Linked DNA regions of Rattus norvegicus. The protein of the gene in region 1 purifies or fractionates together with the protein of each later gene. This does not show direct contact. Links are inferred from orthologs where the notes say so. Each region holds a gene or a part of one and is shown on either strand. Other genes may lie near its edges.

Region 1 (5,987 bases):
AAAAAAAATAGTAGACCCTCTGTCTTAATTAGGGGTTTACTGCTGTGAACAGACACCATGACAAGTCTTATAAAGGACATTTAATTGGGGGCGCTGGAGAGATGGCTCAGCTGTTAAGAGCACTGGCTGCTCTTCCAGAGATCCTGAGTTCAAATCCCAGCAACCACATGGTGGCTCACAGCCATCTGTAATGGAATCCAATGCCCTCTTCTGGAGTGTCTGAAGACAGCGACAGTGTACTTATATACATAGAATCGATTTCTTTAAAAAAAAAAAAGACATTTAATTGGGGCTGGCTTACAGGTTTAGAGATTCAGTCCGGTATCATCAAGGTGGAAGCATGGCAGCATCCAGACAGCATGGTGCACGCAGAGCTGAGAGGTTTACATCTTCATCTGAAGGCTGCTAGTGAAACTCACTTCAGGGCAGCTAGGGTGAGGGTCTTAAAGCCCATGCCCACACTGACACGCCTACCTTACTAAGGCCCCACCTCCTAATAGTGCCATTCCCTGGGTCAAGCACATATAAACCATCATACCCTCCATCTCAGACTTCCCAGCCTCCACTCTCAAGACAAACTTCTACAGTTTATAAATCACTCTGCAATGCACTGAGGCTGTACACAAGTATAGAGCAGGCAGGGTTTTCTCAGCAGTATAGGTTACATTATACATTTACAATCTTTTCTCTGACCCTTTTCTGTTTTTTTTTTTTTAAGATTTATTTATTTCATGTATGTGAATATACTCTAGCTGTGTTCAGACACACCAGAAGAGAGCATCGGATCCCATTACAGATGGTTGTGAGCCACCATGTGGTTGCTGGGATTTGAACTCAGGACCTCTGGAAGAGCAGCCAGTGCTCTTAACCACTGAGACATCTCTCCAGTCCTTTTCTGTTTTATCTACATGTCTTTTCTTTCCTTTTCTTCTCGTAACCCACATTATACCTGAACATTTGAACTTCTAGCAATCCTCCTGCCTCTACCTCCCAAGTGCTCAGATTACAGGTATATTTGCCACTTATACCCAATCTAATAGCATACTTTTTATATTTGAAAACTATTTTAAGATGAAATTTTTATCGCTTCTATGAACTAAAAATACTATGTCTAGAAATAAAAAACCTAGGTGGTAGAAAAGGTGGCTCATCAGGTAAAGGTATCTGCTACCACCTGACAACTGGAACTCGATTCCCAGGATCCATATAGTAGGAGAGAACCAACTCTTGCATTTGTTCACTAGTTCTAGAATCCAACATCAGGGCTTCAGCAAGCCTCAGTTTCTTCATCCTCGAATGAAGCAATGCAACCTTCATAGAGCTGGCATTGAATGAGACACTGGGCCAGGCGCAATGGTGAGTGAAGGCCTGGACCCTAACTCTTGAAAGGGAGAGACAAGAGAATCTATCCTAAGTTCCTCGGCAACATAACCAGTTTGAGGCCAGCCTGAGCTATAACTTACCTTCTATCAAAAAGCCAAAAAAATCACAGTTTGACCCTGTCTCAAAAGAGAGAAAGGGGGGGTTGGGGATTTAGTTCAGTGGTAGAGCGCTTGCCTAGCAAGTGCAAGACCCTGGGTTCGGTCCCCAGCTCCGAAAAAAAGAAAAGGGGAAAAAAAAAAAGAGAAAGGAAGGAAGGAAGGAAGGGAGGGAGAGAGGGAGGGGAAGGGGAGGGGAGGTTGGTTGAGCACAGTTAATAGTACAGTTTTAATTTCAGCACTTGGGAGGCAGAAGCAGGTGGATCTTCATGAGTTCTAGGCCAGCCAGGTCTACACAGTAAAACTTTGTCTCAAATAAATAACCAAAAAAATAAAATTAAATTAAATTAAATGAGAATCTGGTATCAGTTCTTTGCAGATGGAGACATAGTCATTAAGTGAAAGACTAATATGGCCTGAGTGGTACAGGCCTCAAATCCCAACTACTGTGGAGACGAAGGCAAAAGGATCACAAGATCAAGGCTTGCCTGAGCTACGGGAATTTGAAATCACACCAGACAACTTACTGAGATCCTGTCTCAAAAGGAAAAAATAAAAATTACAAAAAAGAAGGGCTATGGAGCTCAGTGGTAAGGTACAATGTTCAACAAAAACCAAAAAAAAAAAAAAAAAAAAAAAAAAAAAAAGTAAAAGAGACAGACAAGCCAATTGAAGCCTTTTCCTCATGGTTTTCCCATAGACCAATAACACTGAACAGAGAAAGTGACAGAAAACTTATGTTCAAACCCTTTGTTCACTACATACAGCAAGCAGTGTGACCTTTAAAACCTCATTTATTTCTCAAACACTGACCAAGTACTCCTAACACAGAGCTAGTAGCCAAAGAAGTCATGTAATATTGGATCACAGCCCTTGAATGATTTACAGTCCTAGCAGGAAGAAGACAATAAACAAGGAAGAAAAACAAAATGAAGTGTCAGGTTGGGACTAACGAGATACAGGTAAGAGCACCTATAGCTCTTCCACAGGACCAAAGTTCAGTTCCCAGCATGCAAACCCAGAGGCTCACAACCACCTATATCCCTAGCTCCAAGGGACCCAACGCTCTCATCTGGCCTCAGTGAGCTCATACACACAGGAACACACACACACAAACAAAATTACATTTTTTTTTTTTTTTGGTTCTTTTTTTCGGAGCTGGGGACCGAACCCAGGGCCTTGCGCTTCCTAGGTAAGCGCTCTACCACTGAGCTAAATTCCCAGCCCCAAAATTACATCTTTTATTTTAAGTCAACTCTCTCAGTTTGTTATCTATGAAGTGGGAATGACTTCTCGAGACTGCTACAAAAATTAACTTTTAAATGCTTGTAATATATCCCCAAGTCTTCAACCCCTAATGTATTAATGTTTTTCCCCCCAGCGACCTTTGATTCTGGTTCTTGTCACTGTACCATTTGAACCCTGACACCTTCGTTGCACTCATAAACTTCATTTCACTTCTGCAAACCTTAGCAAATGTGAAGGGGAAAGAGGATGTTTGTTTATTCAGGTCTTACTGGTTAGCCCAGGCTGGCCTGGAACTTGAGGCCATCTTCAGGACTCAGCCTAGAGGACTAAGAATCTTAAGATGGGTATTTTAGCCTCAAAAACTAAGATCTAGGTCACAGTTCTAAGGAACACAACAGAAACTTCTCAGTCACCCCACCTAGTCACAGCTGGTCAAGATAAGCAGTCACACAGTAAAGGAAGCTGCATAATTTAAGCTTTAGAGGAAACGTATCAAAGCGATATGGGAAGACTTTCAACGGTCCAAGACTTCAGCAGTCAATGCATTGCTGCGGTAACGCTGGTCCATGTCGCTGCTGACAACAGTGTAGGTTAAAAGTCTTGTTATGATCACAGCAAAGCACCTACACGTCTTTAATTTTTTTTTTTTTATTTTTGCCTCGAAGATGACCCGATCTGGGAGCATCTCAAAGAAAGATGATAGGAAGGGCTAAGCTCCCAACAAGTGGAAACCCTACCCAAACAGGGCAAAGTGGGTGTGACCAGAGTCAGACTACCAAGACTCAGGGATCCCTCCTGAAGTTTAAAAACTAAACAGGACCGGTATCAAAGTCTCGGGTCGCCATCATCTTCAAAGAGGACGGAAGGAAGAGACTCTCAGAATGGGGTCCAGGCCGCAACGTCCAGATTTTTCTTCCAGTCTCTACTAGCCAGACGCCCACTCCCAGGCAGCCCCTTCCGGGGAGCATGCGAGTCTCCCCGGCCGAAGTCGGCCCCCCTTCACAGACGCGGCTCCTCCACACCGCAGGCGCCCAGGCTGGGGTCCCCTTCCGGAAACGCCAGCAACGGGCGACTCCCGCCGGGCCCCGCGCCCACCCCGCCCGGGCGCGAGTCGGGACACCCCTCCTCGGAGGCCGGAACCGCGCGCCAGGCCCCTCCCACAGGAAGCCGCCGCCCCCCGGCGCCCGCCCCGCGCCGCCCCCGGCCCCTCGCGCCGCCCGCCGCCCCTGGCTGTCCCGCGCCACCCGCTCGCTGCCGAGCCCCCAGTGCCCGCGCAACCTACCTGCCGCGGCCACACCAGCGGCGCCTAACTCCGCTCCACTTCCGCCTTCCAGCGCCCGCACTCAGACCGGGTCACGTGGGCGCGCGCGGTCACCTGACCCGGAAGAGGCTGGCCGGGGCGCGCAGGTGCGGACCACCTAGAGCCGGGCTGTGAGCATTTGACCCGGTGAGGGCCGGAGTGAAAGGACCACCAGGGCTATGCTGGAGCGGGCGTATAAAATGAGGGTTCACCGGTACCAGGGGCTTTATTTATTCCTTTGGAAGCAGGTAGAATTGTTTTTTCCCCATAGTACAGGTGGGAGAAGATCATCCGGTCAGTTAAGTCGGCAAATCTTGTAGGGGTTGCTGGATAAAAACCAGTACGCTCCTTACATTTGAATGTCAGATAAACCGTGTCACTATAAGCATGTCCCCAAATTTGCAAAGAATGTATTGACACCATAGATGTACGCTGGTCAAAACCTTAAGCATCTCGTGTAATTTTGACAGCCGGTGCCAACTATGTGCAAGGCCTTGTTCTCAGTTCTGGAAGTATAAATACCCTGGCCTTTGTAAGTTATCTGCTATTGTTCCAAAAAACAAAACTGGGAAGGGGGATGGGAGTGGGGCACGGGACAGGACACAGACGACATGACATCCCTTCAAAACTTTTCTCGAGTCCATAAGTGCCCCCATGGGGAATCAACTCCCATTATCTCCGTATATGCAGTAAACTGAACCTTATGAATTAGCAAACAGGGAGTCTATGTAACCCTGGCTGACCTGGAACCCAATGCTGTCCTTGGCCTCCTAATTCCTGGCATTGTAGGCGTACCTCACCACAGCCTGGACAGCAGAAACTTTCTGGGTTTTGCAAGATTGACAGTCGAATCTAACTGTCTGCACAGAACTAGTCAAGGGCGTTAAAACTGACCTGTGTTCCCAGCCATTTTGCTAACTTTCTGGTTTTTCTTTGGAACGGTCTTGTTTCAAGTGCTCCAACTAACCTCGAACTTTTAATTCCATTACCTCAACCTCTGAGTAGTTAGGATTACCAGCTTATACCATTGGGGCGGGAGGCGGGGGTGAGAGAGGAGACCAGTGGAGGCAGAGTTTGTAACCTAGGCTGGCATTCACCTCCCAGTTGATTGTTCAGCTTACAGATAGGTGCCATACCACCTGGCTTTTTGTTGGGTTTGGTTTTGTTAACTGAAATATTAAATTTTTTTTTCTTTTCTTTTCTTTTTTTTTTTTTTTCGGAGCTGGGGACCGAACCCAGGGCCTTGCGCTTGCTAGGCAAGCGCTCTACCACTGAGCTAAATCCCCAACCCCCATATTAAATTTTTATTACATTTTATTCTATAGATGTTTCGCTGGCATGTATACTGTGTACCAGCTGAGTGTCAGGAGCCTTTGCTGAGGCGTATCTACCAAAAGGAAGTCTTTATTAGCCACTCTGTGACGACACTAGGTGTTCAGGAGCCCTGTGTAGTATCGAGCCTTTCACAGGCCAAGGTTTTAAATGCAAAACTCATGTTCTGGGTTGACATACTCCAGTTAGCAGAAAGAGTCAGAAGCAGAACTACAGAAGCCAAAAGGCAAGGTTAGCACATTTAGAGACTCCCAGACACATGGACTTGGGTGGATTAGGTCTTTGTTTTCACTTTGGCAGCTGATGCTGTCTGTGTGCTGAGTTTTATGGCCTGAGTGGACTCCCACCATGGAGTCAGCTCTTAGCGAGTGAGTCAAATTATGGACTAAAGAGGGAGAAGTGGGCCAGGAAGTGAAGTGCACCTTTACTCCCAGCACTCAGAAAGCAGAAGCCAGTTATCTTTGTGAGTTGAAGGCCAGCCTGGTCTACAGAGCAAGTTCCAGGACAGCCAGAGCTACATAGAAAAGGTGTTTCAAAACATAAAAAGCATAGTTGGTCCTAAGGACCATTAATTTTACTGAACGGGATACACTGATAGATAACTGGCCTATCATTCAGCCAATCAGAAT
Region 2 (6,079 bases), about 42 Mb from region 1:
TCAGACAAACCAGAAGAGGGCTCCAGATCCCATTACAGATGGTTATGAGCCACCATGTGGTTGCTGGGAATTGACCTCAGCACCTCTGGAAAAGCAGTCAGTGCTCTTAAGGGCTGAGCCATCTCTCCAGCCCTTTAAATTGTTTTTAACTGTCTCTGTGTGTAGGTGTTTACAGGTGAATGCAGGTGCCAGAGGTGCCCAGGAGTCTCAGATCCCCCTGAAGCTGGAGTTACAGGGGTTGTGAGCTACCTGACATGGGTGCCAGGAACCCTTCCCCCCCCCCTTTTTTTCAGAGCTGGGGACCGAACCCAGGGCCTTACGCTTGCTAGGCAAATGCTCTACCTCTGAGCTAAATCCCCAACCCTGCCAGGAACCTCTTAACCTCTGAGCCATTCCTCCAACCCATGTTTCCCTCAACTTTTAGGTGCCCAAATAGCTTTTATTCTTGGATTTGGTATTGGCACAGGTAGCTGGTTTAAAGTACTCAATTCCCTAAATATCTCTAAATTCTCTGAGGTAGGTAGGGGTGTATGTGTATCACTAACAAGGCCTATACCCAGTTCACTGGGGCAGGAAGATTATATATATGAAATGTGGAAGGCCTAAACCTGGAGCTAAACTTTGAAGCCTCTTACAGCCTAGTCTGGCCTGGTCTGGTCACCTTCAACTTTGTAAGCACTGACTTGATTCTTTCTTTTTTGTTTGTTTTGGTTTTTTTTGTTTTTGTTTTTGCTTTGGAGACACTGTTTTTCTTTTGTAGCCCTAGCTGTCCTGGAACTCAATTTGTAGACAAGGCTGGCCTCTGCCTCCCGAGTGCTGCTGGGCACTGAGTGATGTGAGACAGTGCTATAGGTCTGTAAATGAATCTGATGGCTAGTTCTCATTCGTCCTGTCTTGTTGCCGCCTTTTCCAGCCATTGACTGGGTTCAGATTGATGCCAACTCCTCGGTCCTTCATGATGAATTCATCGCGCACAGGCTTGGTGAGTGCCGGTGTTGAGGAAGAGATCAAAGTGGGATGCTCCCTGTCCCTAGCCTGCCTGACCTCTGAGGTTCTTGTGGTGGCTTGGCTGTTGGCTGTTCTGCAGAGCACTTTTCTGTGTCTTGCAGGTTTAATCCCCCTCACTAGTGATGACATTGTGGACAAGCTGCAGTACTCCCGGGTACGTGTGTTGGCAGATAGACAGGAAGCACAGGTCGGGGGAGGGGGGTCCAGTTCTCCCTGGGATCTTTCTGGGCATCTTCCTTCCAGCTGACTGTAGCATGCTCATTGTTGAGATGATGTCTTAGTAGTGTGGTCCTTGGTTCTGATGGGGCTTCACATTGCTCTCAGCACATCCAGGCATCATCACGGGCAGGTGTGGCGGCACATGCCTCTAGGCTCAGCTTGGGAAGCAGAGGCAGGTGGATCTGTTTGAGTTCCAGGACAGCCAGGGCTGTACAGAGAAACCCTGTCTCAAAACAACCAAAAGGGTGGGGGAACACAGCCACTTTTATGTGTGTGTATGTCTGCCTCTGTCTGTGAAGGTGGGCTAGGGTCAAAAGAGGGCATCGCTCGGAGCCCCTGGAGCTAGTTATAGGCAGTTGTGAACTACTGGGTGTTGCTCTGGCAGCTGAGCCGTAGTCACTTTTAACAGCCAGCCTCACACCCTTCATCCACTTATTGTTTCCATTTTTTGTGTTAGTTTTAAGGAACTCTCGCTATGTAGCCCTGGCTGGCCTTGAACTGAAATCTGCCTGCCCTGCCTCCTGAGTGTTTCCCTTGGTCATTAAAGGCATGTGTCCCCGTGCGTGTCTGAGAAACAGTAATAAATCCCCCTTTGTTTTGTTTCTCTGTGGTTACCAGATGATAACGTTTTACTACGTCTGCCCTGTTCTTCCCTAAGAAAATAAGCTGCAGGCGCCCTGCCCTTGCCTTCTGCGCACTTGAGCACAGATCAGTGTGCTGCAGTCCTCTACGGCTGTGTGCCTGTATCCCACCATTTACAGGGTTACCTAGTGAGAAAAACTCTGTCTCGGAACACACAAAACATCCACAAAGAGTGGCAAATGTTGATAATTAAGGAAGCTGGAAGGTGGGCATATGACAAGTGGCCATCTGTCCTCTCTGGTTCTGTATGTGGGTAGAATTTTCCATAAGAAGTTTTGAAGTAAAGATTACTGGATGTTGTGACACGTGCCTATAATCGTTCACATGGCAGTAGTAGCAGCAGGAGGATCAGTAATTTAAGTTTCACCTACATCCTAAATTCCAGGCCAGCCTAGGCTGTGAGTGCCAGCCCCCTCCTCCCCAAGTAATCTAGAACTTCAAAGTTGTTTGGGTTTTGGGGGTGTTTTTGTTGTTTTTTGTCTGTTTTCCTGTTCTTCCCTTGTTTGTATTTTCAGTAATTCCCAAGCTGATCTGCATAGACAGAACTCTATTGTTGCATAAAACCTTGGTCCTCTCTAGGCACTGCTGAATTAGCAGTGTGCCCCCTAGTGGTCACCTGTAGCAGTGGCCCTGGAAAGGAAGTGTGGTTGCCAGCAGGTATACAAGTTACCATGAGGTGAACCAGATGTCACAGCCCAAAAGGGCCTGGGACTGGGGTCACCCCTTTTCACCAAGAAGAAGTTGAAAGGAGCTGGTTAGGAAAAGCAGAGAGTCCAGTCTTCCCGATCCAACTGCCCTTCCTGCCTCAGGACTGCACATGTGAAGAGTTCTGCCCAGAGTGCTCCGTGGAGTTCACGCTCGACGTGAGGTGCAATGAAGACCAGACGCGCCATGTTACCTCCCGAGATCTCATCTCCAACAGCCCCCGGGTTATCCCGGTTAGTGCCTTTGCTCTTCTCTGCCTGGCTCCAAGTGGGGTAGATTAGAGTGGGTCTTTTATGAGATGCTAACCTACCCTGTGATCATCTACTTTAACTGCCACCTAGACGTGCTGGCCCTGAGTTCCTGAACAGAGCAGTATTGGGGCCATGTGCCCTATGTTGTCCAAAGACCCTTTTAAAGGCCACGGGGCTCTTTGGACAACTCTGCCATCTCCTTCTCAGCCTCCTTTCCCCGGCTTGGCAGCTTACAGGCTGGATTTACTGAGAGACAGTTGCCAGAGGTGATTGAGAGGTGAGAGGCTAATGCATACTTGTTTGGACTTCCTACAGGTGACATCCCGGAACCGGGATAATGACCCCAATGACTATGTGGAGCAGGATGGTAAGGGGGTCGGGCTGGATGGGAAAGGGATGGGGCAGTCAAGCTGGTGGTCAGAGCAGAGACCCTTTTGAGTCGCCTGGTCTCTTGATATTTTTCTCTTCATGCAGTACTGCAGGACACAAGTTGGAGAACTTGTCCCTTTTGTTTCTGCCTCACTCTCACCTCTCCCTGCAGACATCCTTATTGTCAAGCTGAGGAAAGGCCAGGAGCTGAGACTTCGAGCCTATGCCAAGAAGGGCTTTGGCAAGGAGCATGCCAAGTGGAACCCTACTGCGGGGGTAGCTTTTGAATACGATCCAGACAACGCACTTAGGCATACAGTGTATCCCAAGCCTGAGGAATGGTATGTTCTGGGGGGAGGGGGGAATAGCAATGGCTGTAGTGAGATTTAGGTAGGTGGGTGCTCTGAGAGCCTTGCTAACAGTAGAAGCAGCCACCTTTGCTTTACCTGTGCTTGCCCTCAGGCCAAAGAGTGAGTACTCTGAGCTGGATGAGGATGAGTCACAGGCTCCCTATGACCCCAACGGCAAGCCAGAGAGGTAAGACCCCAGTCCTGCTTGGGACTGTAATTGTAAGTGTAGGTGTGGGAGGCTGTTAGGCAGTCACACACCCAAGCTCACCACACCACACCCCATCCCCCACTCCCACCCTCATCCCCACCACGTGATAGAACCAACTGCCAAACTCGCACATCTTGAGTTGGTCTTCATCCCTCTCTAGTCACCATAAAGAAAGGGACCTTCTTACTGCCCCATGCTATTTCTGGCCTTCCTGTTTAGGCTCAAGCCAGAACAAATTAACCATAGCCCTCCCCTGAAGAACTGAAGAGCTGTAGCCAGAATCGTGTTTGGTTTTCTTCCTGCTGTCTCCAGTGTAGACATGCACGCCCAGAGTCATCTTAGGGTTTTTACAACAATGCCCTTTTCGTAGCTTCCCCGAGGAACTGTGAAGTGGGCCTGGACCACTCTGCGTAAGGGGTTCTAGGGAAAGGGAAGTCAGCCCTGTCCTAAGATCAAAGGCCTCGTAGGAATGGAGTCCAGTCTCAGAACGAAGTCTGTTTGAAGCCCAGGCTTTGCCTCATGAGAGCTCTCACCCCCTCGTCTCTCAGGTTTTACTACAATGTGGAGTCATGTGGCTCACTGCGCCCTGAGACCATTGTCCTCTCAGCCCTGTCTGGGCTAAAGAAGAAGCTGAGTGATTTACAGACCCAGTTAAGCCATGAGATCCAGAGTGACGTGCTCACCATAAACTAGCCCGCCTGCTGCGGAGACTAGGTTCAAAGTTGACCGGATTCCAGGCCCTGGGGCCCTTCTGGTTTCTGGGCTAAGGACTGCGCTTGCTCACGTTGCCTCCTGGAAGGACATCGGAGAGATGGCCAGGGGTTCCACTGGTGTTAGACAAGGCAGGTTTTATAGGGGTTTAGCATCCCTGGCCCTACATAGTGGTTTTCAGGCAGCCTAGGGGGAAGCACACACTAGTACAGAAAAGGAGTATTTATTGATCAACAGTAGCTGTCTTTTTAAAAGTTTTTATTTTTGGCAATAAAGAGCACAACATAATCTCCTTCATGCGTCATCGTGCTACTAACTGAGCCCGTTCTGCCTCCCTCCCAAGGGCTTAGGCCCATTTCCTGTACAAACTAACTGACCTCTGGTGGTCGTTCCTGGGTCACAGTCAGAGTTGGGCTGGCTCTGCCACTTCCCTGGCTCCAGGGCCCCCTGAGAGAGGCCCCCTTATCATTCTGCCACACATATGAACAGTGGTTATTTACAAGGTCTGTTCCCACAGAGCAGATCCTAAAGTATTAAAAAACAGAAACACGCAACAAAAGGTTGGATGTGAATAGAAAGATAGCCCTTCTGCACGGTAGTCAATAAATACCAGCACTAGAAAATCAGTTGCTTTAATTGCATTTCAGCAGGGAGCCTCAGCACCGTGTGGGGGAGATGGGAAGGTCTTAGTTTTGGAATCTGGCCTGGGGTGGCTGGCCCAGGGCAAGGGACTCCCTTGCTAGAGCACTATACCCCTGGTCAGTGAAGGGGGCAGCCAGGTGCTCCCCACAGCAGGCCCGCTGCAGCCTTTGGGCTGGTCCCAACTGTCCTCTACTGCTGAGGTAAGGGAGCCCTGCCCGCCTGAAGACATCTTAGCCTACTGAGCGGGAAGGAGCCAGTGCAGAAAGTGCATTTAAAAACCAGATGCCACCTCTGCTTAAAACTCCCAAGTGCAAGGCTGCCACGTGGTGCAGTGAAGTTTAGAACTCTCCTGTGTCACTGTAGGCCCAGAGGACAGAAGCTACCTGCTATTGTGGCCCTTAGGCTTCTGAGAAGAGCTAGCAGACAGCACCAGTCTGATTGTCCCCTCCTCTGACCCTAGCAGCTCAAGCAATCTTGGCAGCAGGAGAGAGTTGTATCACTGAGGACAGGCATGGCAGCCCTCATTCATACTCAAAAGACAGCCTTGACCATGCCTGGTCGTGGAATTAAAAATGGGTATGTGTTGGTGGGGAGGGATAGAGGATAGCCTCGTTTATACAGAATATGTTATAAGCCATATATATTAAAACCATTAACAGTGTATAGTTCCACGGTGGCTCTAGCCCCTCATGCTCAGGTGGTGTGGCCAGCCATGTACTGAGGTCCAGCCTCACCCTTGAGGGCAAGAGGGACAGCTTGCTCTCTGGCTCTTGGCCACCAGCTCCTTGAGGCTGTCCATGGACTGCTGCAGTGAGCTGTCCTCCAGCAAGTGGCCCAGCAGTCGTGAGTTCTTGCAGCCTAGCAGCTGTCACTGGGGAGGGGTCTTGGTCTCACTGCTGTCCTCCTGCCTAGGCTTTGGCTTAAGCAGGATGAATCTGTTCAGGAGGTCTGTTTCTGAGCTGGCCTGGGCTGCC
Region 3 (5,296 bases), on another chromosome or scaffold:
AGGCCCTTTCTTTAGTCAGTTATTTAGCTGTCTGCCTTGAGACAGGGTCTCAGGTAGCCCAGGTTGGCCCCAAACTTGCTCTATATCGAAGGCTAACCTTGAAGCTTTGAAGCTCTGTCTCCACCTCCCACGATGACAAGCATACACCCCCGCGCCTGGTTCGTTCAGTCCCATGGGTTGAATTCAGTGCTTCACGAATGCTGTCAATGCACCCCACCCACTGAGTGCATCCTGGCCATGACAGCTTCTTCTTACCATCAGCCGGGCGGAGTCCCTGCCCCGCTCACCGCTCCTTCTGTCTTCTGTGAACACCCAGCCTCTTCACCCATCCCCTCCTCAGCCACCAGCCCCACCATGCTTCCCACCCACCACTGGGGATTTCTGAAGCGTGCAAAATTGAAAAAAATAAATAAACAATAAGGCTTTGAAAATGGTAGGTTGTGTGTGGTCTCAGAAAAGATGTTAAAAGCTGGGAAGGAAAATGGCTCCTAAGAGGCTCTTCAGTGCTTTACTTGTAGGTTGAGCCAAAACGAGCTGGCCAAGCTAAACTTAAGTGCGAGCAGCTTTGCGTGACAGGGGTCGTATATCATAGGGAGCCCTGGGTTGTCGGCAGCAGGAGCAGCAGCTCTGGAATGACTACTAGTGCTGCTTACCACTCAGAAGCCTCCGGTGGCTTTCTGTCCTCCGTAGGCTAACATCCAAGCTGTCTTCAGGAAGGTGAGGTCTTTCCTGCCTCCCAGCCCAGCGCCTCCCCTCTCTCTTGCTCCTCTCCAGCCACCCTGCAGGCCTTTCTCATTCTCAGACACACCGTGGTTTTTTTTTCGTACATCTGGACTTTGCACTTACTGTGTTCTACCTAAATTCCCCACAAGGTAACTGTCGTTGTAAGGGGTATCAGCCTTGGCCCGTATCTAAAGGAACCATCCTGGTAGACATCATGCAGAGCCCTGTGGAGATGTGACTTAGAAATTGCTGTTTGTTCTCCTGCTCATGGATCCTAACCTCAGGAGGATGGATAACAGTTCACCCCTGACTTGTTTCCGTTTTGCCTTTGTGTGTGACTCAGGAGGGTGGACGGACCAAAAGCCATCGATACTGGCCCAAACTGGGGTCCAAGCACAGCTCAGCCACCTACGGCAAGTTCAAGGTCACCACCAAGTTCCGGACAGATTCTGGTTGCTATGCAACCACGGGCCTAAAGGTGAAGCACCTGCTCTCGGGGCAGGAGAGGACGGTGTGGCACTTGCAGTACACCGACTGGCCCCACCACGGATGCCCAGAGGATGTCCAAGGATTTTTGTGTAAGTTTTTCCCAGACTGAGTTTTACTGCATGTGTCAGCAGCCTGGCAGTTGAGTGGGCAAGCCTACTCTCAAGCCACGGGAGTGTTAGAATGCTGAGGTGTTGGTCCCCTCATCTCTATATAGGACAGAGAAGAGTAATAAATATCCCTTCTCCGCTAATCTCTTACTCGAGTCTGCAAGAATGTGGTAACCTAACTCTGCTTCGATCCAGACTTTCAGCGTCTCGCTGATCAGTCACTATCTAACGTGCCATGACATAGATGAATCCTGAGGACTGCACACCAAGTCAAAAGATGGAGACATAAATGCATGTGCACGGTGGCGTTTGTCCTGCCTGGGGCACCTATATCAGGAAAAACCGTTACGTGCATCTCTGGTTTCAGGGCACAGCTGGTTTAAGATACTGTTCATGACACTATATTTGTGCTGTGTGTCCCAGGTAGTTCCCAAGGAAGGTAACCAACAACAAGTGGGCATACTGTACCCACCAAGAGGCCCCACTGTGTGAACAGAGGCCCACTGTGTGCAGAGACCCACTGTGCACATGTTGGACAACATCACAAACTTGGCGTTTATTTGGAATGTTTAGAATCTGCTGTGGGGTCTGAGAAGGCTCATGACAGAGATGAGGTTGTCAATACCAAGTGGGGAAGAACCACTTCTCCAGTTCTATCAGCTTCTGATGTTTTGACAGAAGGATTCCACTTACTGGTAACATGGGGACAGGCCTTGAGGAGCACAAAGAACACAGAGTAGGGCAGCAATGGGGCAAAGAATTCAAAGCCCCAGAGAGGTTAAGTGACCAGTTGTTTATCCCAGTTGTCAGTGAAGCAGGGTGTGACCTCTGCAGACCTTCCCATCCTCCAAACAGCGATAATTATTCGATTCAGAGAATCTTCTGCTAGTGGACTTGTTAAAGTTGTCTCTCAGAAGAAAATCCAGATTAATACCAATAGACCGGCTTAATGATTGACAGGTCTGCTGACAGGTGGGGCCCAGGAGATGCTCTCCAGTGTAGTCAGATCTTTAAGTCAGAACTGGTTTGAGGAGTGACAGACTAAGCTACTGGGGGATACAGAGCATCCCTTTGTGGGTTGCCCAAGGGTTGATTTGGTAAGAATCTTGATGCAGTGATGTTGTATATCTCCATGGGAATGCTGGCTGTTGTAGAGTCCAAAGATCCATTTTTCCTCCTTATGTGATTATGGCAAGAACCATTAACGGACCCTGTGGCTGTTTTCCTTTTGTGTCCCTTTGGGACAATAAACATACCTTTGTGCACCCCCGCTGGGGTGGGCAGCTGCTAGAAGCTGTGAAAGCATGCCTTGAACCCTCCACCTACAGGCTTGCTGTCCGCAGAAGTGGGGTTCCTATTGTATGGTCACATAACTTCATGCCAGTGGATTCCCTCAAAGCCTTTTTTTTATAATACATCTGGAAACGAATTCGAGCCTTCGATGACATTCACTCATTTTGTGATGGGGAAGAGGATGGGGCAGGTGGCTGCACTTTCCCCAACAGGACTTGGCTCTGACAGGAGGGCATTTCAAGGGGAGTTAGCGGATGTTCTGATCCCAGTCTGTTAGTAGTATGAAATGCTATAAGTAATGTCTAGGATCATCTGCTAGGGGGACTTGGGGATTTGCAGAGAGGGAAACAGAATTTAATTTTTAAAAAAGAACTATTTAAAGAACAAGTTCTCCTGTGGACTAATTGACTCCCAGCTGGTCTCTCCTGGCTTCGGGGTGTTACCAGCCAAATGATTAGCGTCTTATAAGAATTGCAAATCATTATGACCGAAAACAAAAGATTCACCCTCAATCCTGGCACCGCTCCCCCTATCCCCCTGGACGTAAAGTCATGTGACACACTTGGGTGACGAGATTTACATTTTGTCCCGCAGCCTACTTGGAGGAAATCCAGTCAGTCAGACGCCACACCAACAGCGTGCTGGAAGGCGTCAAGACCAGGCACCCCCCCATCGTGGTTCACTGCAGCGCAGGGGTGGGAAGGACCGGCGTGGTGATTCTCTCCGAGCTCATGATCTACTGCCTAGAGCATAATGAAGTGAGTCGTCCGCCTCTCTCTTGTTAGTTTATGAGATGGAAAGTGCACAGGGACCTGTGTGCGCATGTGTGGAGGCCAGAGATCAACCTCGGCGGACATCCTTTAGACACCATCGCCTGCTTTCAAGTCAGTGTCTCTCCTCACCTCACTAAACAGGCTAGGCTGTCTGGCCAGGGAGCCCCAGGGCGCCTCCAGTCTCCACTTCCCAGTGCTGGGATTAAGTCCACACTATCATGCATAGTTACCGTTCACAACAACTATGGCTTTGGGGAACTTAACTTGAATCCTCACACTTCTGTGGTGGGCGAGCAGTTTACTGAACCACGGCCCCAAGCTTCTCTCTGAGCACTGTACCTTGATGTTCTAGAAAGATCCAGCAAACCTGACTGCCGTGGGCATCCCTTTCCTGAAGCAGGCAGATGAGCTCTGCCATGGGCTGTTGGCCACGGTACATGGCTCTCCCACATGGGACTTGGATGTGTGTGTCTTGTGTTTCTGGGATGTGCTTTGCCCCAAATCCTGGGTGACGATGCCTCTAGGTAGAACACGGTTGTTGTTCCTTATGGTGCAGTTTTTATTTGGGGGTGTTTGCCCTTGTCCAGCTTGGCAGTATATTATGAATGTAGCTCACAGGCTGGCTATGTGGGCCAGCACCGGCTGTTCTGTGTTGTAATGGCACAGGGTGTGTGTTACCTCGTACTGCCATAGATTCTGGAGTTACAGCGGGAGACGTGGACAACAGTTCTGCATTCATTCACATAAGATTGTGTGCAGGGGCAGTGGTTTGGGATTCTGCGCTCTCTCTCTCTCTCTCTCTCTCTCTCTCTCTCTCTCTCTCTCTCTCTCTCTCTCTGTGTGTGTGTGTGTGTGTGTATTTATTTTTGAAAGTTCTAGGGATATAACCCAGAACTCCGCACCTGTCAGGCAAGCGCTCTACACTGAGCTATCCGCCTCACCTGTCAAGGGAGTTTCCTTGTGCTTTTTAGTGGGTCTTGCTATGTAATCCCTACACTGGGCCCTAAGCCCTAGGCTGTAAGGTTAATAAAGGGACATCCTTTCCTCTGTCCCATGAAAAGCTAGGCCCAGATGAAGAAATCCAGGCCCAGAAGCTATCCTGCGATGTAGCTGACGCTGTGTAGCTTTAAGCCGCTGTCTGATGGCAGGAAGCAAACTCTCCTCCTCCTCTGACATCAGTTCCTGCCTGCTCACTGTTTCCAGCAAGCTGTTCAGTTTCCAAGTTATGCAGCGAGGAACTCTAACTGCGTGTAATAGATGCTTTAGTGTGTGTGTGTGTGTGTGTGTGTGTGTGTGTGTGTGTGTTTGTGTTTGTGTATACTAGTAGACTCAGAGATTTGGAAATCAGCTTTATTTAGTGCTGCCATCTTGTCCGCTGTGAAAGGCCTTAGCTCTTTGAAGACCCATCTGCAACCTCTCTGTCAAGGCTGGAGATCGTGTCGCTCACCATGCATCAAAGCCAGCCTGACTCGGAATGCGTGTGGACTGGGGGATCCAGCCAACAGGGATTCAGTGGGCTCCCTGAGGCTGAGTGGCTCAGTCCTCCCCCATCTCCCCACTCCCCACCCCCACTCCCCTGCAGTGTGTTCCCCTCAGTGCCCAGCTGCAGGCCAGCACATTCCTTGGTAGTATGTGGCAGTCCTGGAAAACCTTGTGTTCTCATGATATTCAGAGACATCAGGGCGACTCGGACAATTCATGTCCTTCCCCCAGCACTAGTATAGCCACCCTTCTCTGTCCATTTCCCACGGCTGCTGTTAACCAACCGTAGACCAGACCGCAATGTGCTCTTCAGGCCTGGTTCCTCCCACTCCTGTCTCCCTGTCAGGAGAAGGGCAGACATGTTTAGTTTGTTCTTTAAACAAAGATGTTTGACAGATAGATATGAAACTGTCATGGCCTCCTCTTCCC
Region 4 (5,296 bases), on another chromosome or scaffold:
TACCGCATGTTTAAACTGGCTTTAATAGAGCTTCTCACTTAAGCATTTCACGTTACATGTGTGCAAACAAAATCACAGAAAATATATGATTTTTAATAAAAATTTTTAATAGGTTCAATTCTTGACCTCTAGTTACAACATTTATCTTTTTGCTTCTTAACTCATGTCATGTTCGAAAAGATTTACAATTAAATTTAATGACATAATTACATTTCATGTACAGAAATTAAAAGGGAAGAAATGTGTGTATCTCCGAATGGTTAGTAAGAATATTAGAAGTAATCTCATTCAGGTAGTATCATCAAGTGCCTCTTAGAAACATTTTAAGTGGGGGTTGGGGATTTAGCTCAGTGGTAGAGCGCTTGCCTAGGAAGCACAAGGCCCTGGGTTCGATCCCCAGCTCCAAAAAAAAAGAACCAAAAAAAAAAAAAACATTTTAAGTGAATAGAATAGGAGTTGCTTGTCAGTTAATTCAACTCTAGATTTGATCCAATAAATAATTGACCCACTTGCAAGTGACTTGGAATGCTAGTGCTTTAAAATGTGGGTTTTGGAGAAAACTTCTCCCTCAAGGTTTAGCCATTTGTGTTCTGTGTGTCAGAATGAGACACTCCAGTTTGTTACCCGGATCATTCCTATTTAGACCGCAGGGAAGCTGAAAGGGAAATCAGTGTTCTTGAAACTTAAACAACAGGAACAAAAAGGAAAACCAGAAGGACCGTTTTGAAATGTAAATTGCGACTTGTAGAATATGCTGGATTTATGGCTACTTGATACAATCCAAAGTTATTTGAGAAGAAGGAACCTTAATTAAGAACATCCCAGAATAAGATCAGCCTGTAGGCCATTTTTGTAATTAGTGATCAGTAGGGGAGGGCCTAGCCCATGTGCTCCTGAGTTCAAGGAAGCAGGAGGAGAGCCGTGCGGAAGGAAGCTGGCAAGCAAGCTGCACCCTCCATGGCCTGTGCATCATGACCTGCCGTTTGAGCTCCTGTCCTGACTTCGGCGATGACCCATGGGGTGAAGTTTATTTGCTTAGTAACCGATAGATCTGCAGACAGCAAACTGCGCGGTCTCTAAGAGCAGCCCACGTATAAAGTTAAAATAAAGTGGTTTCATTCTAGCAGTGAATGAAGTATTGTTATTACTATGTTTCTCTTTATTTGTGTAGGAATTATGACCTTAAATCATATTTCTGTTATTTGCAGTGGCATTCATATTCAACTGGCTTGGATTCTGCTTATCCTTCTGTATCACCAATACCATAGCTGGAAGATACGGTGCTATCTGTGGATTTGGCCTCTCACTGATCAAATGGATCCTTATTGTCAGGGTGAGCATCTCGATGGTTTCCTCCTTACCTTCTACCATATGGATTTTCAAGTTCATTAGACTTGGTGACAAGTGTCTTTACATAGTGAGCCATTTCTGCAGTCTCTCCTGGGTTTTTCAAGGATGGACCTAGAAGGGTGATCAAGGGTAGCTTTATTCATTGTGTCATGTTGTCTGCGAAGCTGTGTGTCTACCACTCTAAAGCCAGTGCGCTGGGAGAATGGAGCCTGAAAATGAGGAGGACTAAAGTCTTAATGCAGTAACCAGCGTCATTCAGTGTCAGAGTTTATACTTTGAGGCTTAAGAAAAGTCAGATGAGTAAAGTGTGTAATCACAAAGACAAGCCACACGTGGCAAAACCACGTTTATCCATAGAGGCATACGGATACTCACTCCTGTCCACTACACCTGGGAGGAGCACGGAAGCATACTGTAAGAGCAGTTCTGTGTGTGACGAAACCGAGATCACAAGTCTGTTCACAGAATCTTAAATGTTACACAATTACTAGAGTATGTAAACTATACAAATAATCAGTACTTAGACATTGCTTTCTGGTTGAAAGAGCTAAATCTTGGCTAAAGTTGTCAATAGAATCACAGGTCTAAATGTTTGTTTCTGTTAAATGCTTCAGATGTTTTATTAATTTATTAACAAGTATAATTTATTAAAGTAGCCATTATACAAATATTAATACTCAGAATGATATTTTTATTAGTTTTGAACTTGTTTTATAGCTTTGATTCTTTTCACAACTCCTACACTGGTACATATCAGACTGTAGGTTTCTGACTGTTAATCTTTTGGGGTCTATTATAACATGATTGACGGTTGAACCATTATGAGAACTGTCCTCTGATAGTTTTTTGTTTTAAATTTACTTCAGATGATGTCCTGTGAGTTTCTACCATGAGCTTAAATCAGCTAGATGGTGTATATACACAGTGACAAAGCTACAATCCTCTTGCAGATTTTCTTGCTGGAGAAACTGAAAAGAGTTGAGTTACGTTTGTTCAGACTTAGCTGTATTAGAACTGTTGCTATTACTCAAATGGAATTTCTCATTGAACATAGCAAACAATTCAAACCTACTGTCTAAAGTTTCCTAAGTTGATGCTTTGCTAGCGTGATTCCTGGTACACAGAAAGGAAGTCCGTCCATCCGGTATGGCCTGTACCCTGGGGGTTTTAGAACCTCACTCTCATTGGCATTCTGCTTGCTGAGTGTCAGGTAACATGCGGAGTGCTGAAAACAGAGTTGTGGGCCTTTCCTTTTTTGTTTTCCACAGCTTCTAAGACTCTTAGGAAACTTCTCTTGAATATAAAGTGGTTTTTCAGTTATCGTTTTCTCATTGTGTGTCTTATATGTGGGAGTCTGCAGCAATGGTGGTTTAGATGTTCCAAAGGCTGGGATATTCAAACTCTTGTGAATCTTTAAAACTCTTAGCGTAGACCGTAGGTAATAGCTCTTGATTAATTTAAAATTCTTCCAAAGAAAGTACTTCAGAGGTTTTAAAGACATGTTTTGATAATCTTGATTTATATGCTTCCCAAGTTGCAACACCATGTATAATTTGTACTTTTACTATTACCAAAGCTGTAGATTTTTAAGCTCTTATAGAAATTACCAACAAATCATTGGAAATGCTTTTAATTAATTTCAGGTTCAAGCATCATTCTACCTTTTTTCACAATTTTTAGGTAAATTGGATTCAATTTGGAAATCAGTAGAAAGAAATCAATCAAAACTATCTTTTTTGTTTGTAACTTTTAGAATATGTTATCTGAAACACTTAAAAGTAATTATTTGGAGGCACTTTAAGATGTAGTGTGAGTTACCTGCTAAGGACGCTGCACTGATGTACTACCAGGCTCTGAGAGTGCAGTGTCTGCTCTAGAGAAGGCCCCTGTGCTCTCTGCTGTGAGGCCACCTGCTGAAGGCCCACCTCACACAGGACATGGCCGGCAGCAACCACTGTTGAAATGCCACTTCGAGGCTCATTTAGCTATTCTCCGCTCACTGTTGGGAGCTGAATGTCAGGCATCTAGTTTGAAATAAAAAGTTTCTAATGAGTTGGGGGGTCTTTCTGTGCCTAGTATTTTTGGCAGTGATTAACAGTAGGGGGTGTAACAGAAGGTCAAAAACTCTCCATTTTAGAGGTCACCAGAACATCCCCATCTGATAAGATTAACCTACTGTGGCTTTTGTGTTAATACCCAAAGCAGCAGGTGGCTCTGGCCCATTTGGGATGTGGCTGTGGCTTTGGGACTGCATAAGAAACTGACTTTTCAATGAAAAAAAAAAGTTTGATTCCAATAGATAACATTTAGGCATTTATCTTTTTGCAAGCAGTTTGGAGGTTTTGTTTATAAAGTACTTTACGGAAGTTTACAATCGCATAAGAATTTTTTCACCATTAAGTATTATTCCTGCCCTTTCCTTTTGTGCTGTTTTTATATGCTATTTTTAAGCATTAAAGATTATTTAAAGAGATAATTTATTCTGAAACCTAGGATAATACAAATATTCAAATGTAGTTATACAAATATGATTAATATATTTATGTTTACCCCATAGTTTTCGGACTATTTTACTGGCTATTTCAATGGACAATATTGGCTTTGGTGGATATTTCTTGTACTTGGTAAGTTTATTTTTTTATATTCCTTTTTATTTAATCTTTTATTTTTTTATACTACAGATTTACATTCCAGATCCCATACCTTCTCCCTGCCCGTCTCCTGAGGACGTCCCCTCCCCTCAGGCCTCTAGCCTCCCTGGGGCCTCCAGTCTCCTGAGGGTTCCGTGCATCTTCTCTGACTGACTGAGCCCAGAGCAGCGTTCCTCCTTAAGGCAGTACAGTTTAAAATAGTGTTTCTTTATTGCTCAGCTTAACTGCTAGTCCTAAAATTATAAAGTGCAAGTAAGTTGTGTTCCTTCCTAGTGTGCAGAACTAATTCTAGTGTAAAGGTTGCCCCCACTTAGCTCCTTAGCAACGGAGGGAACAGAGGTGCTGGGACGATAAGTAAGTGCTACAGAGTTTGAAGTTTCTACCTAATTAAAATAGTTATCTTTATGAATTATCTTAGGAAACACACGTGTATAATTTTAATGACAATGTAGCATGTAGGAGGGTTTCTGCATGCAATGCTGTCTTCTTGTTTTTGGATCACAGAAACCTTTGTGCTTTTGAAATGTGCCTTTCCTTAATCATTAACCCACAGTGCAGGGAAAGGCTCTATGGCCAACGATCACAGTACTTCTGCTTAGTTGTCTCCTCAGTAAGGCACAATTTTTATTATGTTGGTGACATCTGTGGGTTTTCAATAGTAGGTGGTAGTTAATTTTAGCATCATATTCTACTCGTGACCCATATTTCAAATGTCTTGACTGTTGAGACTCATTTTAATTCTTTTAGGTTTCAGTAGGTGGCAGTCTTCTCTGTAGGTTCTTAGTCGGGCCGTTGTGTTTTGAAGGTTGTTTGGGAAATATATTATTGGTAGCCAGTTAAGGTCACTAAATTTCTAGTGTAATATTATGGTAAAGTTATGTTCTTGTTGTAACTAGGTTGGGGAGTCACAATTATAAAGGGTTAAGATGGGTTTATATAGTGTTAATTGTGTCCTCACTTCTTGAATTCTTTGCTTTCTATCCAGTCTCTTATCTAAAAGTTGAAAACAAAAGCCCTATGAGTTCTGTGAAGCATTTAAACACACTTGTGTGTATTTGCTTTTGATGCCCATTTATAAGGGTGAGTGCGGTTGGAGGAAGGTAACTGTGGGGCAGAGTGCCACCGGTGATCCTGGGTCCACCGCAGAGCCAAGGCCTAGCATTTACTGACAGGAGTATGCAGACTTCATCAGCACTATGATGCTGCTGTCACATACATAAAACAATGCTGGATACCGGTAGGATGCTAGTCTAGGAGCCTCTGGGTGGGCTTTAGGAAGGAATTGGCGTTAGAAA

What was found. The genes of interacting proteins can lie anywhere in the genome.
Region 2: the proteins of Wwp2 (region 1) and Polr2c purify together in Homo sapiens (affinity purification with mass spectrometry; 3 studies listed by BioGRID and IntAct, with this or other methods). This does not show direct contact. The link is inferred for Rattus norvegicus from reciprocal best matches to the Homo sapiens genes WWP2 and POLR2C.
Region 3: the proteins of Wwp2 (region 1) and Ptpn14 purify together in Homo sapiens (affinity purification with mass spectrometry; 3 studies listed by BioGRID). This does not show direct contact. The link is inferred for Rattus norvegicus from reciprocal best matches to the Homo sapiens genes WWP2 and PTPN14.
Region 4: the proteins of Wwp2 (region 1) and Ndfip2 purify together in Homo sapiens (affinity purification with western blotting; 3 studies listed by BioGRID and IntAct, with this or other methods). This does not show direct contact. The link is inferred for Rattus norvegicus from reciprocal best matches to the Homo sapiens genes WWP2 and NDFIP2.

Annotation. Positions count from the first base shown.
Region 1 is NC_086037.1:52,254,649-52,260,635, reverse strand, and holds the start of Wwp2 (NEDD4-like E3 ubiquitin-protein ligase WWP2), read right to left. Parts: upstream 4,074-5,987; 5' UTR 4,009-4,073; intron 1-4,008. UniProt on the Homo sapiens protein: E3 ubiquitin-protein ligase which accepts ubiquitin from an E2 ubiquitin-conjugating enzyme in the form of a thioester and then directly transfers the ubiquitin to targeted substrates.
Region 2 is NC_086037.1:10,162,825-10,168,903, reverse strand, and holds the end of Polr2c (DNA-directed RNA polymerase II subunit RPB3), read left to right. Parts: intron 1-913; coding exon 914-982; intron 983-1,109; coding exon 1,110-1,162; intron 1,163-2,678; coding exon 2,679-2,807; intron 2,808-3,140; coding exon 3,141-3,192; intron 3,193-3,366; coding exon 3,367-3,535; intron 3,536-3,656; coding exon 3,657-3,731; intron 3,732-4,300; coding exon 4,301-4,445; 3' UTR 4,446-4,756; downstream 4,757-6,079. Other genes in the region: Dok4 (docking protein 4), read right to left, coding at 5,974-6,079. UniProt on the Homo sapiens protein: Core component of RNA polymerase II (Pol II), a DNA-dependent RNA polymerase which synthesizes mRNA precursors and many functional non-coding RNAs using the four ribonucleoside triphosphates as substrates.
Region 3 is NC_086031.1:103,938,021-103,943,316, forward strand, and holds part of Ptpn14 (tyrosine-protein phosphatase non-receptor type 14), read left to right. Parts: intron 1-1,066; coding exon 1,067-1,301; intron 1,302-3,206; coding exon 3,207-3,370; intron 3,371-5,296. UniProt on the Homo sapiens protein: Protein tyrosine phosphatase which may play a role in the regulation of lymphangiogenesis, cell-cell adhesion, cell-matrix adhesion, cell migration, cell growth and also regulates TGF-beta gene expression, thereby modulating epithelial-mesenchymal transition.
Region 4 is NC_086033.1:88,490,959-88,496,254, forward strand, and holds part of Ndfip2 (NEDD4 family-interacting protein 2), read left to right. Parts: intron 1-334; exon of another isoform or gene 335-407; intron 408-1,208; coding exon 1,209-1,333; intron 1,334-3,907; coding exon 3,908-3,974; intron 3,975-5,296. UniProt on the Homo sapiens protein: Activates HECT domain-containing E3 ubiquitin-protein ligases, including ITCH, NEDD4, NEDD4L, SMURF2, WWP1 and WWP2, and consequently modulates the stability of their targets. As a result, may control many cellular processes.